2 linked regions of the Solanum lycopersicum genome follow. The protein of the gene in region 2 interacts with the protein of the main gene of each other region in a pairwise test. Links are inferred from orthologs where the notes say so. Each region holds a gene or a part of one and is shown on either strand. Other genes may lie near its edges. The genes, in order: increased DNA methylation 2 and increased DNA methylation 1.

Evidence for each region.
Region 1: the proteins of increased DNA methylation 1 (region 2) and increased DNA methylation 2 interact in a two-hybrid assay, tested with the Arabidopsis thaliana proteins (3 studies listed by BioGRID, with this or other methods). The link is inferred for Solanum lycopersicum from reciprocal best matches to the Arabidopsis thaliana genes ROS4 and AT1G54840.

What each region holds. Positions count from the first base shown.
Region 1 is NC_090800.1:85,088,280-85,098,727, reverse strand, and holds increased DNA methylation 2, read right to left. Parts: upstream 6,135-10,448; 5' UTR 6,024-6,134; intron 5,333-6,023; 5' UTR 5,299-5,332; coding exon 4,083-5,298; intron 3,950-4,082; coding exon 3,669-3,949; 3' UTR 3,428-3,668; downstream 1-3,427. Other genes in the region: cation/calcium exchanger 5, read left to right, coding at 2,241-3,005; signal peptidase complex subunit 3B, read left to right, coding at 6,969-7,094, 7,219-7,266, 8,651-8,713, 9,515-9,568, 9,979-10,065, 10,148-10,273. UniProt on the Arabidopsis thaliana protein: Prevents DNA hypermethylation and transcriptional silencing of transgenes and of some endogenous genes. May act as a molecular chaperone of IDM1, regulating its H3K18 acetylation activity.
Region 2 is NC_090806.1:67,721,206-67,730,711, forward strand, and holds the end of increased DNA methylation 1, read right to left. Parts: coding exon 8,164-9,506; intron 7,308-8,163; coding exon 7,187-7,307; intron 6,897-7,186; coding exon 6,814-6,896; intron 6,327-6,813; coding exon 6,085-6,326; intron 5,544-6,084; coding exon 5,457-5,543; intron 4,554-5,456; coding exon 4,454-4,553; intron 4,146-4,453; coding exon 3,944-4,145; intron 3,845-3,943; coding exon 3,453-3,844; 3' UTR 3,312-3,452; downstream 1-3,311. Other genes in the region: probable beta-1,3-galactosyltransferase 14, read right to left, coding at 675-774, 892-974, 1,056-1,208, 2,529-2,899. UniProt on the Arabidopsis thaliana protein: Histone H3 acetyltransferase that binds methylated DNA at chromatin sites lacking histone H3K4 di- or trimethylation and catalyzes H3K18 and H3K23 acetylation. Prevents the transcriptional silencing of transgenes and of some endogenous genes.

The sequences.
Region 1 (10,448 bases), on a different chromosome or scaffold from region 2:
TGCTGCCCTCTAGAATTTTGAAGCACATCTGATACACAGTGCGGATGATTGCTGAAAACTGGCCCCACATTCTGTGCCATAAGTTATATCTTCTCCTTGAAGAATTCTCTTTGGGAATTAAGAATGCTGAATGTCAGTTGTGTTGACCATAATGGTCTTGACAAATGATGGTGCAAAGCTAACTGGCTAGGTGCTTCTAGCACCCTCAAAAGTAAACCATCTGAGATGGCAGCTTTTCAAGGTTCAGAATGATTTGGTGGGGGAACTCTGCAATGACTATAGCAGGTGGTCACAAATTTTGGAACTGGGGAAATTATCTAAATAATATTTGAGTGTTAGTGTTGAATTATGCAACAAAACAGCTTTGGCTTCAGTTCTTTACTTCTGTATTAATTTTTCAATCTTGGAGTGTACCAAGCCAGGATGTAACTGGCGATTAAGTAAGATAACTAAATAGAACCATGATGGATAGGGTTAAGGCAGCACTATTCGTCGTTGACTAGAAATAATCATCTAGCATTATGGTTAGTCTTATCCTGCATCTAATGATGACAAGTATAGATGATTTTCCTTCCTTGTGTGTTCCTCAGGCATCCATTATTCATGCAGACAAGCAAACTTTTACTCCCTCCATTCCCTGTTACTTGTCCATTTTGCATTTTGCATTTCCTTTAAGAAATCATTAATTAAGTGTTTATCTAACTAAATTATCCTTATAAATGTTACTTTGAAAATTTAAATGTCTATTAATACTTCAATTAGTTTGGGAAACGGTTACTTATTGATGAAAAAATGGAAAAAGATACTAATTGATTCTCTCTTGCTTATGCCTAAAAGAACTAGTAAAAAGGAAAATTTATTTTTAGTATATTGGACAAGTAAAAGAGAACAGAGGGAGTCCTAGATACTTGGACGGTAAGTTGGAGGATATTGGGGTCTAATTTTTCCCTTTTTAGTAATTTCAGAATATATGGAAAGTGATTTTTCTTGTTCTTGCAAACAACAACATATGCTGTGAAGAGTTAGACATCTAGTGCTTAAATATCCTTTTAGTATAAAACTCAAGACTCTGTAACACAGTAACAGATAACACCAAATAACAAAAATGCTCCCAAGCACTTTATCCTAGGTGGCTTCTAAAGATCCCTTCTTTGATTTCTAGAGCCCCTTCTCTGGTGGTTCTCTGCCATTGGAATCTCTTCCTTTTCTTGCCTTTTCTTTCAGGTAGCATTTACTTGGAACATGGAGTGGTTATATTTCAGACAGAATCTTATGATCTTACAGACCAGTATCTGCTTCAGAGGTATGGTTTCGAGTTGGTGGAGAGTACAGTGATGTCTATCGGACATATGATATTGAGAAGGGGAGCTTTACTTTGGTTATGCAAAAGATTAGAAGGAAGCTTCTGAAAGCAGGGGGAGGGGGGGGGGACTTCAAATCTGAGAGATGCAGAGACATTTCGACATATGTTTATTGCTCCCTGAAGTTCAATAAGTACCATCGATTTATTTCTGTTATCAAACTGAAGGGAGTAGATCAGTAATTATTATTCCAGAAAATGCATTTAACAAGGAACGGCAAGATCTAGTAATAAAAGTGGAAAACTTCATTGAGAGAAAATTAGAGAAGCAAGGAGAATTTATTACAAAAAGGAAATTAAATCTCAATACAATCATTGAGAAGGGGGATTATGAGGCAGCTCTTCGTAACAATAATGTAGCCTGAGCACACCTTACATGGTGCAGTCCCTGACGTGACACTGGCATAATGGATGTCAAAATGTGGAATGAACTTCATCTCCATGCTTTTCAAGTGCAAGGAAGGAAATGAATAGGGGGCAAGCAACTGACAAACAGAAGAGCATGCCTAAGAAGTTGGATTGCACTCCTTCTGGAAGTTATTTTTATATCAAGCCATAAGAATTATGATGACCATAGCATTTCTCATGGCTCTAAACTCTAAAAAAATCAATAATAAATGTAACATCTAAACATACCAAGTATCTTTTGATAAGTGAGTGTGTTTTATGTGGGAATATGTTCTCAGTGTGTTTTATGGAAGCTAGTTGCTTCTTTCTGCAATCCATGTTGTTGACTAGATCACTCGTGAAGAATCCATCAGGCGCACACTAAATCCATGCTTCTATTTTATGGATTTTGATGGTGTTCACAGCATCTCAGTTTAATGTGTAGCTATTTTAATATTTTCATTTTGACATTTTAATATTTCTTTTTTGACAGGTCTCTCTAATCTGGAAACTTCCTGTCTCGATGCTCCTTAGGCTCACCATACCACAGACTGCACCTTCTGAATGGAATAGATTCTGTTTATCTTCCAACATTGCTCTCTGCCCCCTCCTCCTTCTGTTTTCCTGCAAATCTTTTGTGCCATTAAATCATCCAATCTCTTTCCTTCTCTCAGACACCCATTTGCCTCTTTGGTTCATTGTACTTTGTGCTACGTGTTCTTTGGCTGTTGTACATTTCATTGTTGAAAAGGAGGCCCCTAAAACTGAGCAAATGCCTGCAGTTGTTATAGCATTTGTTATGAGTGTATTTTGGATCTCCACAGTTGCTGGGGAACTTCTCAACTGTCTTGCCGTTCTTGGAGAGCTCCTGAAACTGCCTGCTGCCTTTCTTGGTTTAACGGTGCTTGCATGGGGAAACTCAGTAGGTGATCTTGTTGCAGACGTGGCTGTAGCAAAGGCTGGCCAACCGGCCATGGCCATGGCTGGATGTTTTGCTGGGCCAATGTTTAACATGCTTTTTGGGCTTGGAACTGCTTTGGTTATGCAGACAGCAAATGTATATCCAGAAGCTTATGAGCTTCATCTCCACGTGAGTATCGTGGTTGCTTTTGTTTTCTTGCTATTGAGCTTGATGGGATCTTTGCTTTTAGTTACTTGGAATAGGTTCCGGGTGCCAAGATTCTGGGGATTTTGCCTAGTAGGACTCTATGTTGTATTCATGATAATAAGCCTGATCATTGCCACGTTCTCTGCCTGAGTTTTGGAGAGACAATTGATTCATCCATCACTGGTCTGGAACCATGCGGGGGCTGCTAAACTCTTGAAGATGAAGTAGGTGGCAAGTGCGCCTTTGCCACAATATCTAGGAAATGGTTATGTTGATAGCCTTCATTCACTTATCAGTTAAAGATCTTATTGGCTTCCATTCAAGAACATAATAATTCATTTTTTTTTTCAGTTCATTGTGGAGTGAGTAAAGTGAGCTGGAAAGCATAATCCACTGGTTGTATAGTAAATTTCTGGTCAACTAGAAGCTTCATGTAAGCCAGTACATTTTTTCTTGTGAAATTCAACAGAATTATAGAGAAAAATGCTTAACTTCGTATTTATGCAGAACTACTCGAATCATACTATCATTTTTTTTAAAAATAGAGTACTGCTTAGCTCTCTGGATAAAGGTTATTATTGTTGATTTTGTGTTACGTGATCAATTGTCATAATTAAGTAATGTAGATTTTACACCCAGATTGATCTTTAAATGTGGGTCAGCCTGTTTAAGCTTTTTACACCTTACCTTACTTGTAATTGAACAGGTAAGTTGGTTGCATTCACACCAAATTACTATTATCATAGACATAAGCTAGGTTGCAATTTGTAGAGGTACTACCTCCTAATTAACAAGACACTAATTTACCCTATTCTATTGAGAATATGTTTCTGCTTTCAATACGATTCCCTCGAGAATTCCATCAGTGCCAAAAATACCAGAAAATGCTTGAGGGTCAACTGGGCCTGGCAGCTTGAAAGAGATGGTGAAATTTCCTGTTGGACATAGGTTCTGAGTTTGCATCTCGAATACTTGAGAGTACTTGTGGACTGTCCTATCACCAGTTGTCATTCCCTTAATCAATACTTTACCATCAATCTCCACTTCACAAGTAAATTCTCCTGAGTTAACCATAGATTTTGAACAAATTAGTCCTGGTCGAATCCAAAATCATCAGAAGAATGCAGTGCGCCATATTGTAAAAGGATTTGGCAGATCAAATATGTCAACTGGGACTAATTGCAAATTCAGATGTGAAAAATATTTTAGATCATGATTGTAACTTACTTTCATCTCTCTGTACTCCAGGGAGTGATACACGGAACAAGTAAGCATCCTCACTTTCTCCTACATCCAAGAGCCCGAGAACTGGTCCTATCTTACCCTTCGCTGCACTCCCAGCCACTGCAAATCCACTTTTAGTAGCACCAACAATGTTACTTAGCTCCTCCATAGAAGGGCAAGAAGGAAGGAAGACAATGCTAAGCTCTGAGTCGTCAGAGTTGGTGTGCTTTGATGATGGACCCATAGACTCTTCCGCCAGTGGACTGACATCCTTAAAGAGGCTACTAAAAGGAGTATCATCAGATTTTTTAGAGCTATCTGGTGGCGCATCAGTAAACTGGCTGACAGCATCATTCCTCAAGAGACTTCTACAAAGTGTAGTGTCAAATTGTCGATTGCGATGAGGTGGCATATTACTACATGAGCCATCATTCAAGAGACCACTAAAAGGTCTAGTGTCAGATTGTCCATTGCTATCAGGTGGCACACCATTAAATGGTTCATCAGAAGCATCCTTCAAAAGACTAGTAAAAGACATATAGTCAAATTGTTCATTGTCAAGTCGTAAATCCTTAAATGGCTCAGTACTTGAAGGTATCTCCTTATATGGTAGGCTACTAGCAGCTAATGATGCATATTGGAGGATATCACCAGGATTGGATATCTCCTTGTTTCGAATATTAGTTAGAGCTTCGTAATCAACATCGGCTTGTGATTTTGTGCAATCTTTGTCCATGACCAGATGTTCTAGACCAGTGAGCTTCTTGAACCTCTTAACACTATCTGGTTCGATATAACTGGTATCAGGGTCATGGATGAACACAATGTTTGCAATAACATTATACACATGACAGCATAAATGGGGATGCAGGTTGGGAGGAAACAGATCACAGAACCGAGGATAAGCTGCTGGTTGTTTACGGTAAAGAGTAGGAAGCTTCCCATGAAAGTACTGGTGCAGCCACGGTTGTGCCAGGACAACAGACCGATCTGCCTTTCTCAATGCATGATAGTAAACCCTTTCTACTTCTATGGTTCTTAGGCATGAACCAGCTAATTGATTGGAACTGTATGGAGGTAAGCCTAGACCCTTTCTTTGCAAAACTGACCTTTTGGGATATTCTACGGGGATATCTGGTCCAAAGAAGGTTCCAATGATGAAGTAAAGGAGGAAAAACTGATCATCCGTTGGAACCAATCCAGTGAAGTTGTTGTCCATGCTCGATGGAAAGAGTAAGAACTCTGTGATTAATCTGTTTCAGATGAAATGAAACAGATAAAAATATTGACTCTAGACTTGAGTAAAAAACACGGTTGAAACATATACAATGAAGACAGTAAGTAGTGAAAAAAGAAGAAGAAGTAAACACTAAGATTGATGATATGTGATTATAGCTTGAAGCGAGTTCAAAAGATCAATTATATGGAGTTTTTACCATCTATTACCGTATATGGATTTCGCAAACGGAAGGTTGAAATCAAGAATGATTTTGATGGTTAGAACGACAAAGACACACAAAAGGATTAGTAATTGAGATTCTGTAAGTCATCCATGAGGATATTTTTGTACATAAAAAGGGGAGCCTTTTAAGTAAATGCAACAGAGCATTTTCCAAAAATATAGTTTAGGCTGCCTATCTGTTTTGACATAGATAACTTAAAATTGCTTCACTAGACTGGATTTAAGCAGGTACAAACACAAATTAAGAGCAATTTCTACACTAGATCAACACATTGGCAAGTCACATCCACATGCAACAACTCATTGATGATTCTTACATGCAAGAACACTAAAAACATGATAGTACAAATCCAGAATCAGAGAAAAATTGACAAAAAGAAGACATCAAGTGAAGTGTAAAATTAGGAAATACAAAATGTAAAATACAACTCTATGTTTTTTTCCAAAGTGAGAAATCAATAAGTGAAGTGTAGAAAGCATACCACAATGAATTCTCCTTCTCCAGAGAGTAAGTTGAACTATTTGCTAGTGCCACAAAAGAAAGCAACGAGGTTTTTCAGAAATCAGTCATCCCAATCACTGCCACGCGTCCTTTACTTGGTTATGCAATATAATTGGTAAATAATATTATATAAGAATTGTTTTTTCTTATACGGTAAATAGCCTTTAGTTCAAGCGGTTTGATTTTATCAAATTTTGATTTGCTTTTAAAAAAAATGTGCATTGTAAATCAAATTAATTTACTTTAGTTTGATTTTTTTTACTTTAGTTTGATTTAATTTAGTATTTTTAAATCGATTTATGGTATTGACTGAAAAAATAAAATAAGAATAAAGTATAGAATACTTAGAAATTTAAAATTATAATAAGAAATGATATGTCGTGGAATACTTGTTGTATTAATTAAAACACTATATTTATCTTTATCAAGAACATGTTTTTCTTAAAAATTAATATTTAAAGTTAACTATTGAATGGTATATTTGTTGTTGCATTAATTTGTTCATCTCCACCTTTCCCCAATTGTTGTGATATAGTTGCCTTTATCATTAGAAATTAGAGCATAAATTATATATACATATTACAATCTTATTCACCAACTAAACATTTCTTAAATATCAAATCAAAAAATAAATATATACTTAATTTTAAATGATAAAAATATTGATATCTAAAAATATAACGGAAGAATTATTTGTCATTTCTCTCAATAAAATAAAGATACTCCAATATAAGATGATGAGTATTGACATGTTCTATCAAATAATAAATTGACAACTCAACACAAACCATTAAATTTCAGACCAAAAATAAAAAAGAGAGAAGGGTAAAAACAAGATTTGACTAAAGTCTGAACTCTTAAGCGTTAAAAGCCCCATTTTCCATATTCTGAGAAGACCAAAAATTGAAGAAAATCGGGAGCAAAGATGCATTCATTTGGGTATAGAGCTAATGCTTTGTTAACATTGGCAGTCACCATCCTTGCGTTTATGTGTGGAATAGCTTCTTTCTCCGACAATTTCAATACTCCGATTCCAACAACTGAAGTTCAAGTACACCTACCTCCTTAAAAACCCTACTTGAATCTATGTTTTCCTTTTGTTAACTTTGTCGATTGTAATTAGATCTGTTAATTTTGTAAATGACCCACGTGTTTGAACGCTTGATTTTCTGCAGGTGTTGAATATCAATTGGTTCCAGAAGAAACCTGATGGGGACGATGAGGTATTTTCTTTGACGAAAGATTTGTATCTGTCGATTTTGATAAAGGGTTTTTCTGGGTTTTTAGTTTCGGATTAATTTTTGTTGAATTCGGTATGTGAGATTGTAAATTGGGTTCAAAAACTGGTTGAACTATGATGGTTGACCTTTCTTCTTTTTTTTTTTCTAATAATTTCTATTTCAAATTCTTGAATATGGGTATTGCTGGATTCTTTGAGGAATCAGGAATCTATGTGATCTATGTACATTCTTGGTTAAATTTGTTTGCTTTCTCATTTGAGAATGGAAAAATCTTGAGATTTTCTGTTTTGAGGTAATATAACTATAACATTGTTCAATTTCAATAACCAAGTTTGATGCATATATGTACGGACATTCTTTGTACTATCAATTGTATACTCTCCATTATAATACCTTCTCTCTAAAAAAATTTTCAATTTCAATCTAGGAGATCCTCCTAGTTAGGCATGAGTATCAACCTAAATAATCATGAATTGTTAGTTAAGGTTTGAACTAATTTTCTCTAAACCCCCATGATATCACATTGTTCTTGAAAATACTAGTAAAAGTTATGAGTTATGACTTTCTTCACCACTCAAACTCACAGGGATCAAACAGAAGAGAATCAACGAATTCCTCGATGAAATCACAAGTAAATTGGACATAATTCATTAGATAAAGACGACCAAATAAAACAGTCCTACTGTACAGAAAAAGGAACTAAGTCGGCTAACTCCTTCGAGATCCTCTTCTTCTTTTGCATTGTTTGAGTGCCTTGAGGCATTCAACTAAATCTGCAGTTCCAGATTGTAAAGATAAAGCTATCATATGTAATACTATTAACTAATTCCCAATTTCTTAGAGTATCCATTGGTTTTTAGTCTATTTTAAATGTTAGAGTTGCCAGTAAGTTTCCAATATTAACTTCAATAATAGAGGGCTAACTAAGCTTACTAGAGGTGTGCATTGGTCGGGTCGGTTTGGTTTTATGTACTATCGGGTTTTAAATACGTTAAACCAACATCTAATATGTTGAACCACTTTTTTCGGTTCGGTTTAGAGCGAAAGGACCGCAGACAACTTTTGAGTAAAACTCTGGAGGAAAAACAATCTTCTATTAGTATTTTCATGAATCTATGTGATATATGTGCATAAAAAAATAATCGTATGTTTTTTTAGATCTCTTAATCATTGAAATATCATAAAAAAATATGCTAGCACATTATATTGCCTAAGGTGTCAGTTTATTTTCTTTATCTTGTTGATCTACATGAACTTGGTAGCTGCTCTTTTGTTAAGCATTCTTGTTACCATTGTTGGTTGAGTGGTTATATGAACTTAATGAAAGAAGTTTGTCTATATCATGTATACTTTTCCTTTTATGCAGGTCAGTTTGACCTTGAACATATCGGCAGATTTACAGTCATTGTTCACGTGGAATACGAAGCAGGTTTAGTGTCTATTTTATTTGCACCATAGTTTGGATTTCACTCTTTTAACCCTATTACTTGAGTCTGATTTTCTTCTATGTAAAGTATGAAAGTGTGGATGTATCAATCTGTATACATCTTATGCTCAATTAAGCTAATCTCTAAGACATAATATATGTATACTTTTCATCCCCGTTCTGAAACACTGGAGTTCACTAGAGTGAAGGGGAGAGGTGGTCATATTAGATGTTGATGCCACGGTTAAGACTCTGGATTACAGGATGTGGAAATTGGAAAATAGAATGCATTACACAAATTTACGAGGCTATTAGTGACTATATAAACCAGTGTTAGATAGTTAAATCTATGCCTTCTTGTACAATTTGTTGACGTTTTCCCAGTTAGTCCAATGACTTGGTGCAGTATTTCCTCTTTCACCTTTTCTTTTTAGTAAAAATTAAAATGAACTTAAATTATTCCTGTTGCAGTGCTTGTGAGAAAGCTGGTTCTATTTTGTTTCCTCCCTTTTTATTTTCCTTGAGAATTTGGAGGACGGGATTTAGAGTGTCTTTACAGCTTCAGTATACCATATATTGAAATTCTGCTACCTAACATGTGTAACAAGAGACTGGAATATTTCAAAAAGAACAAGACTACGTGCAATAAGTTTCCTAGATTTCTGAATTCAAAGTTTTTTAGTTTTAACTTCGAACACTTTAAGAGATATGTTGGCATTGATCGGTCAGATCTCTGTTGGTTGGATTACCTTTATAGTTACTTCTAGCAACTGTGCAATTCTAATAATGTTTAAAATTTTGCAGGTGTTCGTATTTTTGGCAGCTGAGTATGAAACTCCAAAGAACGCTTTGAATCAGGTCTATCTTCTATTGGTTGAGAACTGCATATAATTAATATCTTCCTTGTATTTCATTTGTTAGTTAGATCTTATTTGAGGCTCGTGTCTTTGTCTGATAAATGTATTGCAACTGAAAGTAAGGCTTAGCACAGTATGTATCAACATATCTGCCCTTTGCTTCTCCTTGTAAATCAACGGTCCTGTACTTTGTTGTCAGTGATAGGATTTTCCTGTAAGTATGAATGTATGCTTAGTGAAGCCTCGTGGGGCTGTCTTCTCCAAATTTGAGGAGCAGGCTTTAGAAGCTCCAAGGATACGTCAACTCATTAATTTTTAGGACCTGCTTGAGAATTTGTTTTGTATTTTGTTTTCCTACCCGATGAGAGTTTGGTATGATTCCTTCTACTGACCTGATTGTTTTACTAACAGATATCTTTGTGGGATGGTATTATTCCCACCAAGGAACATGCAAAATTTTTGATTCACACCACAAACAAGTATCGGTTTGTTGATCAGGTTAGTTTCTGAAGCATTTTGCCTTATTCTGCTTTCTTCTTTATCTCATGATTTTCACAAGTACCTAATTCCTTGTTTGTAGGGAAGCAACCTCCGTGGTAAAGCTTTTAACCTAACATTGCATTGGCACGTTATGCCAAAGACAGGGAAAATGTCTGCGAACAAACTTGTGATGACTGGTTACCGCTTGCCAGAGACATACAGATGATGAATTTTTTCCTCGGTGCAATTTACCTGTAACTTTAGCCTCCACTGATAAGTAGGGGAGAATGTGCTTAAATGAGATGAATAGGATAATTTTGTCCCGGATAATGTCAGGATTGCTGTTTATCGGCCTCAAATTATAATATTGATACTTTAGACCTTTGATATTATGATTGTTT
Region 2 (9,506 bases):
ATATCATATGAATCAAGGTCAAGAACCATCTTCACATTTCTAATTCAAATGCAAAGATGCATTTTTTGAATTACTAAAATAGATTTAGCAACTAGTTTTCTTACTAGATTTCTAATTTCCTTTTTTAGTCAGCATCATTCATACTGGTTACTTAGCAATTAATATTACTTCTTTTTTACTAGAAGGTAATTAATATTACACTTTGCTAGCTATGCTTGTTGTTTAGTGCCATCCTTTTCCATATAGAGCCAATGGGTGATGTAATGCTTGGCTTAGCCCTTGAGTGTCTACACTTAAACACATGCAAGTGTGGTGTCCTAAACTTAAACAAGACTGCTAATACTGTGCTTAGTTTATCTTCAACCCCTTCACACATATATATAGTTCTCTGTTTTTGGTGCAAGAATTTATTACAATCTTTTAGATTCGCTACCATGGTCTGTTTAAGAGTCAAGTTGTAAAATTAAGTAATGTGAGTATGTGTAGTACCTCAGTCAGCCACCAACTACTTACTCGCAAAACATAGTCAACTCCCATCTTATTAGTCCTCCAAAATAATACTGAGGCATTCAACTAGAAATGGAGGGACTAAGTTCCTACAAGTATGGAGCAAATAAACTAGATACCAGCATTATATTCGAATATATGGCATGCAGGCAAATTATGAGACTCACCATTTGAGCTTGGGGTCAGTGAGAACTGGACCCTTTTTCATGCATCCAAGGTATGTTTGGGAGTGAGGGCGCTCTTTGGCCAAGAGCAGTGAAAGGCGGTCTGTAATGGAAAATTAAAGCAACTCAAGTACATCAAAATTCTAGGACATGGTAAATGCATAACAAGAATGACAAGTAAAGAGCAGTAAGAATAGAAAAGCTTCAAAATTCTTGTTACCTGGCCTCAAATATATGTCGTCATCAGCTTTAACATAAAATTCAGAGTCATAAAGCGCATAGGCAGCTTTGAAAAAAGCTATGCTGGAAAAACAACTTGAGTAAGTATAGGAAACCAAAAAAGGAAAAATGATGAATTACTACATGAAAGCAGCCAGAACTAACGTTTTGTATGGTAGCTTACTGTACTTCTCTTCAATGTCTAATAGTAAAAAATCATCATATTCTGCTACCTCTTTTTTAAGCTCTGCCATTTTGTATTGATCACTTGTTCTACCAATTACAAATTTAAAAGCCAAGCCAGTAGCTTCTTCTAACCTGCAATTTTATTTACGTCAGTTTAGCAAAGTATAGATTCAAGAAACATATAGAGACAGAGAAACACAACTACATATAAACATAACAAATAAATGAATAACATTGAGTTCATTTGTGAAATATCTAGTTCTAAGTGCTTAGCGAAAAAGGAAATTCTTTTTTTCCTTTTTTCTTTTTTTTTTTCCGCAAAAGGAGACAAAAAGAGGTATCATCGCCGATATATATGGCAGGAAACTTCCAGTTCAATTCAACAAGAGCATGATAAAATTGTTCTATGAATAACTCAATTTCCACATAATTAAGAAAATGTCTTTTAACCACAAGTCATACACAACAATTTATTCCCTATGACACACAAGCATATAAAACTACAAGAGCAAGCTACCAGTAAAAACAACAAAACGATACAACGTTTATAAAATCGACTAAACTAAACTAGATTTTTAATCTGATGACTATAAGAAAGACTACACAGTAAATACTCAAACACCTCACGTCGAGTTTCATTAAAATGCATATCTATTAGATAATGTGAATTTCCAAATGAAGGTAAATCTCATACCTATCCCTTCCATTGCATCTTTCATAAAACCATGTCTAATCAATACAAACTTTTTTTTTTCTGTATCAAAAAAGTTTGTATTAATTACGCATGGTTTTATGAAATCTGACAACCATCCCTTCCATTGTATCATTTACTTTAACTAAGTTTGTATTATTTACGCATGGCTTTATGAATCTCAAGCTATCCCTTCCATGTCTTTCTCTTAGCTACATTTGTATCAATTACACATGGTTTTATGAAATCTCAGAGCTATCCCTTCCATTGCATCTTTCTCTTAGCTACGTTTGTATTAATTACGCATGGTTTTATGAAATCTCAGAGCTATCCCTTCCATTGCATCTTTTTCTTAACTAAGTTTGTATTAAATTAAACATGGTTTAATGAAACCTCATAGCTATCCCTTCCATTGTGTCTTTCTCTTGACTAAGTTTGTATTAATTATGCATGGTTTTATGAAATCTCACAGCAGATCAATAAACTACTAAAAAACAACAACATAGCTAGTGTAAGAGTCTGGGGAGGCTACGGTGTATGCAAACCTTACTTCTACAACATGGAGGTAACTCACATCAATTAACTACAACAAGAACAACAAAATAGTCAGCGTAATCTCACTAGGTGGAATCTGAGGAGGGTAGCGTGTATCCGAACTTTACTTCTACCTCGTGGAGGTAGAGGCACAACAATAAACTAAAGATTACTTTTTTTTTTAATTCCACATTCATAAAAAATCACAGAGAGAGTAGTATTCATACTTTTGAAGGCCTTCATGATCAGAAGGAAACCAAGTTTGCCTCAACGACCGGCGACGACCAGTGGAAGCAAACCCAGTTTGGATCCCAACAAATCCCATAACTTTATGCCTCTTTTGCCCTTCATCTGAAACTCCATCAGCATCTTCACTTGCCTTACTACCACTTCTATCCCAAACAACAGAAACAGATCGAGGTTCAGCATATTTACAATTTGACCCTAAACCCTGCTTCGAAATTGCAATAAAACCGAAGATAAACCCAGCTACACCGATGAGAGAACAGAAGATCAGGACCGTCGATCTGCGGGAGTAGATAGTTGAGGATGAAGAAGAAGATGGCCAAGCATTGAAAGATTTAGGAGATGAAGGCATTTCAAATTATGAGTAAAATTAGCACAGGATCAAAATTGGTGTTGGGAGTTGAGATTTTAGCTCTGTTATGGAAGTTTACACTTTCTTGTTTGATGAATTCTTGCAGGTTTCCTCCATCTTTGTCCTCTTCCTGAAATTATTATATTTAGCAAGTTTTTGATTCTAGATTTTAAAAATATTTATCTTTTGAAATCTGTGAAGAACCAAAAAATGCAACACTGATCAATAAAACGTGAAGAAATAGCCACCAAAAGGAATCAGGTAGCTAGCTATTCTTAGACGCATTGAGAAATGGTAATTAACTCCATTAATCTTTTGACCACTTGTAAAATGGATAAAAAGAAAATAGTTTTTTCAAATATTTTAGGTGTAAAACTCATAAAACTTTTGAAAAAAAGAAGAAGATTGTAAATGGCTTGAAAAAGCAATTCGCCCAAATTTTTCATTTTCCGCATCGTTTTGCTTATTTTTTTTATCCTGCTTGACAAAGTCACTGGTGTATAGCTACGAAATTATAAATTATCAACGTCATTACACATTCCCCTACAACACATTAATTCACTTCATCTAAACAAAAATGACTATCCACATTCATCTGCAAATTATCTACTCTACAACCTGCTTCCCCATGGCTGATATACGTCAGAACCGGTTCCTCGGAGAGTTTTGAGCACTTGCTAGGCAGAGCATCAACAACACACAGCACTTCCACTGGTTGCAAATCATTTGAGTCCGGCAGCCTGGTTTCGGTTTGATGCTCTGGATTAATGGTGTTTCCTTCACAGCCTTGCCCAAGATCCTGATTACTACCACCTTCATCTTCACAGAATTGCAAACTCTCAGACTGAGGTGGGTCTCTGACATCAGCTCCTGCATTGACATCTTGAGATGGCACGCAATGTTGCATGGGCTCGATAATGGTGAGGCCATTTCCACCCGGACAAACTGATTTCAAGTATGAAACAGATCAGTTCCAGTTTGTAGTGTTTAAGAAAGAGAATTATATTCTTTAAAGTTGAAGAACATCAAACACTAAATACTCACCACTCGGTTGATCTGCATCAGCAGCTTGAAACAAAGACTTCTTCAACCATACAGTTCCAGGGAACACCATGAGGTTGATATGACTTAGACTTCGTTTCTCGTGATCTTCCAAGGGTTCAAAGCCAAAGCCACAAGTCCATGTTTCCACTAAACCTGGAATAGCTGATATGACAAGTTTCTCAACCTTGAACGACTTTAGCATCTGGATGTCATCACAAGGGAAACAAGTAAGCATACATGGCAAAACCTTGCTTCACCGTAAAATAAAAGATAATGTGCATCACAAGCTCCATAATCCAGGAAAAGACTGCAACAAGCAAGGGGTTCATAAGTATAGCATGTCAAACATTTATTTAAAATAATTCAACACTTCCTATAATTTTTTATCATATCAAATTAAAATTCCACAGGATGAACACCCATTTTTGGGGCTTATGTCCCACCCTGTACTACGTGGAACATCTGAGTGGGACACCCGGCAATTATAACACTGTTTTCCTGTCAGATTACCTCCAGTATAGAATTTAGTAGGCGCCTGCACATTCCCTGGCGGCGGTATTTACTGCATGTTGCAATTAGAGGCATCTCAGCAACTGTTACTCCATGGATCCTGCAAAAGAACCAAATTCTGATTCAGATAAAGATCGTCGCCCCAGAAAAAGTCCTGATTTTAGTGAGATGGTTTCATCAAACAGACAGCAAGGAGGCCACAGCTTGCTAGTCACAGACTCATAATTAATGATCGAGGTTATGGGAAAAAGGTCTCAGGTAAACTATAACTCCTTTTGGCATTCCCATATAGTAAACGTAGGGATTGAATAGTGATAGTTAAGAAATTTCTATATAATCTTTTTCTTTTTCTTTTTTTTAGTCAGAGAAATTTATATACTAGTCAACAATACTTGAAGTATCTTTCTTCCAAGCACCTTCTGTAACAGATATGAATGCACCAGTTATCCAGAAACCTCCAGATGAAAAAAATTTCTATAAAATTCCAAAAACACCTAATAGTCTATCAAGCATAAATAACAGAAACAACCGGCAATGCACATGCAATATGAGAAAAGGCCATCACTAATCACAGTCTAGCCTTTCAATTTTAAGCAGCCGACAGGAGAAAATACTTCTAATACTCGCAAGAACAAAAAATTCTTGATGTAATTGAAAGGCGTACAGTAAGAAACACAAACATAGCATAAAAACCAAAAGATCAGGTCAAGATGGAACCATGAAATTGAAATTGCAAGCTTAAGATGTCATATTAAAGAACTTAAAAGGAAGCTTCAACTCCAAATGTTTCGGTTTTCCTTCTAATGTTCCAACTCCAATAACACTGACATTTTTTCTTTAAAATAAACAAAAGAAAACAGGCCACAAATAGAAGGTAAAGGAGCACAAAGCAAATCAGAAAAGATGCATATGCTCCAAGAATATCAGCATTGCAATAGAGGTGTCGAGCTTATAGAACAAGCAATAACAATGGACAATTGCATTCAAGATTGTAAAGAATTACCTTACTGATGCTACAGCTACTGATATGTCATCTTTCTCCAGGATCATCGTGTAGAATCCAAGATAATTTAACCGAGAAAATTGTGATCTGTAAATATTTTAAAGATAAGTCTTTCAGCACCACTTAAGTGTCATTGTATTTTGTAACGTTGATATGAACATAGTCAAATGACACCATGGATGCAAGACCCAAAAGACACCTTTTGATTTGGCGCATTGAATAGATGAAACTTATTCATAGTTACCAATTTCAAAAATAAAATAAAATGAAACTTATTCAATTTTTTGCATATTGTCATTATATGCCTTACAACATAATGCTTCAGATAAAACTGCTCTTGTAAAGTTCCTCTGTCATTTCAACATAAAATATATTATTCTTAAATTTATAGTTCAACCTTCCATTCAATTAGTTTGAATAATTGAATGAGAACAGAATGAACAAGACATGCTAGGAATAATGCCTTATCTATCAAGTGCGGGAATTTTGTTAAAACATGTAGGCTGTTGCTAATTTCACAACCGCTTTAGAAGAATGTGGAAGAATAAGCATTAAGCAATATACCCAACCACAAAGGTAAGCACAGCAGTATGCCAAGATAAAAAAGAGTTTATGGGAAGCAACTCACCCCCAGCTGTATATCACATGGGGTATCATATCTATGCCAGTTCTTGGATCCACCATGGGAAGAAAGCACTCCTCCATAATCGTAAGGGCAACTGCTAACTTTGAGTTGCATTCTGCCTTCAAAGCAATGAACCGCTGAGAATGAACTTTGTGGTCACCGAGAATGCACCTCAGAATTGTCCATGAAAAGCCATCAGCCAGATGATTAACGAACCCAATGCGAGAGTGAAGACCTTCATAAACCTGCAAAAGAGTATCGCTTAAGTTTTTCTGAAAGACAACCAAAATAATTCATAGTCAACCTTGCAATGAAGTTGATATTCTCTCATGCCAAAATCTTTCACTTATCAAGGAAATCAAGCAGGTGAACTTAATCCAAGGCCACAGAACAGTACTTTGCAGTGAAAAACAGATATTTTTTACTATTACTATAGATGGTGCAAAAATTTCTGCTTTTAGTTTAGCTGTTACTTTTAGATAGACCTACTCATGATACATTGACAATATAACAATCATATTTCATATCACATTCTCCTGCCATGACATATCACATTCAAAAGGAACTAGTAACCACCGATAGAACTTCACACTCCACACTAAAACTTTAGAAGAGAGAGAAATATGAAAGTTGGTTTGTTTTATCTTACACTGAACTGCATCAGGGATTTACATCATTGAACAAGCTCGTTTTATAGTAATGAAAAAGGTAAAGCTGAGATGACTAGCTCACCTCTTGACAGCTTTCGCTGCAGAACCATGTATCAGAGGCCAGACCAGTTTTTGTAATCCTTAAATCACTGCATGCTTCATGATCTGTTCAAAAGTCATCAAAGCCATTGAGGAATTTAGTAACAGAAAACCAAGACTTTTGAGAAGGATTATATATTTTCCGCCCCCCATAACTGAACAAATGTGAAAGAAGATGATAATTCTCTGATCGAGGCTTGTGAAGTTTGCCAAATGCAAAATCTTAGTATTATTTTAGACCATGCATTCTGGTAAGAACTGAATACAGAGCTCCAATACCAATATTTGGACATTTTCAGGCCTGCAATGGGAAAAGAATAGAAACCAAACAAGTCAAAGTTCATGGGAAAACTCACATTTATGTTCACATTGTGAACATTTATATCCACCAGGAGAACTTGATTCACTACATCTAACCACGTCCCCACATTTCTGGCACGTGCATTGTGAACAGTACCAACTCCCTTCAGGAAGCTCCTGAAACAAGAAATAATAAGTTAATCTACTAGAATTTATATCTCTTGTCCAGTGTCATTAAACAAATTCAGTACTCAACTTCATATGATACGCAACAAAATCAAAGGGAAACCAAGACATATTTTAGAATAATCATACAATCATGCCTAGTGCAGAGACAAAACCAAAACAATATTGGTAAATAATTTAGTTTTTTGAGAATGAACAATATTGGCAAACAAATAGAGTACAGGTTTGTAGAGAAACCATGGTACGACTTGCGAAAATGGTAAAAAGGCAATAAAAACAAAGTAAAGCAAGTGATTACGAAGAAAATGAGGGTAATATAGTCCATTTAAGTGAAGACAAGGACATATTTGACCCCAACTAAGTAGAGTGCAAATATGTTCCATTTCACATAATGTTATGCAGCATTTGGTTAGCGATATTCGACAAATACCCGTATTTAATTATGTGAAACCTTTCTATTATTTTATGGGGAATAGAATAGAAATAAGAAGTCATGTCAAGTAATATGCAGATTAAAGTACTAAGACAAAAATGTCATTAAAGCAAGAAATCCATGCACAGCAATCCCTTGGACTGTTTTGGTGGAAAGACGAGTCCTGAAAGGGAAATAATTGAGAGTAAGGACTGAACAAGACATGCAACTTCTTTGGTGTTCTGTTTATATAACGTCATATAAAATCATATAAGAACCCATGCATAAAGCGCTAGGACGGATCTTTTGACATCTTACAATTTACAAGTGAATTAAACATAAATGTTGAGCAAGAAAATTATTTATTCAAGGCAAGATAAAGGCATCAAACTGACTCGAACAAGTAAACTAAGTGAAAAGAGTCAAAAGACGAACCTGTGTGAACAAACAAGCTAGATGAAATGTAGCTGGACAATTGTCACAGCAAATCAGTTCGCCTCCATCACCACATCGCCCGCAACTGTCATCATTTTGGTCCCTTTCCTCAGCTTGGGAAGTTTGAGAAACTGCCCTCCGTGCCTTGTATTCATCTGACCAAGCCTCAAGCTGACATAAGGTGAATGGCTTACCATTCTCCATGAAAAGATTCAAACAGGGGCGATTGTGCTTAAAACCGGCATGCTTTTTGAAGCTAGAGATGGATAGGACCTCGTCACAGCAATTACACGATATTCCATCAGCGGTAATATAGCCGGTTTTTACCACAGAATCATCCTTCAAGTTCTGGTACTGGATCATTTCATTTAGGGAGACAACCCCAGAATGAATTAACCAGGATAACACAGTCCTTGAGGCAAAGGTAGGCCATTTTTCTTCGGGGAAGTGTTTTCCACCCTTAATAAGACTACGTAAAAGCAACTTACCACCACTTTTCTGGTTCTTCCTTTTCCTTAGAGGTTTGATTTTACCAGAGGACCTTTTGTTGCCAGATTTGCATGTCGTGTTTCTAAATACGGCTGAAATTAAGAGATCATCGTCACTAAGACGGCATTTCTTACGTTTCTTTGGCCCAGAGTTTTGTTTGCTTGTAATTACTTCATGAACTCCACTCTTCCTACCAGATGGATCACACTGGTCATCTTGGCCATTAGCGGATTCCATTTCTGATAACTTCTTTGATTTCTTCAGGACCTCCCTTTTCAAGACTGAACTTTCTGCATGAGGTATACCATCGGAAATTATTGTCAGAGATTTGGTCATATTATCAGATCCTCCAATCGAGGTTAGTGCATGTCCTGAACAAATGGGAACTTCGAACAAACAATATTCTTGTTCACCATTTGTTTCAGGTCCACAAGATGGTAAAGGAGCTAATTCAGGTAGATCATTAACATTTTTTAAGAGTTTTCTGTATTTATTAGCACCCTCACTGACAGTATCCCTTAAGCACATGGATCTTTCATTAGGATAATCACAAGATACACCATTTATACATTTGCCTTCACCCATCTGGGGCTCTGTTAAGTTGAGAGAACTTTCATCACCATAGTCCTCGTGGATCCATTTATCAGTCTCATTCAATGCACTATCTGAGACAAAAGATGAGCTGCAAGGCTGATTCTGCAAAGTCCTCTCATCAGCAAACAGATTTCCTGTGTCGTCTACATTCTTTATGTTATTTTTAACAGGAGCAGTGGCCAAAGTCATTTTGGCTTTAATTGTTTTTCCTTCTTTGAGAGAGCGCAATGCCTTGTCAATGAACACCACAGTTACAAAAG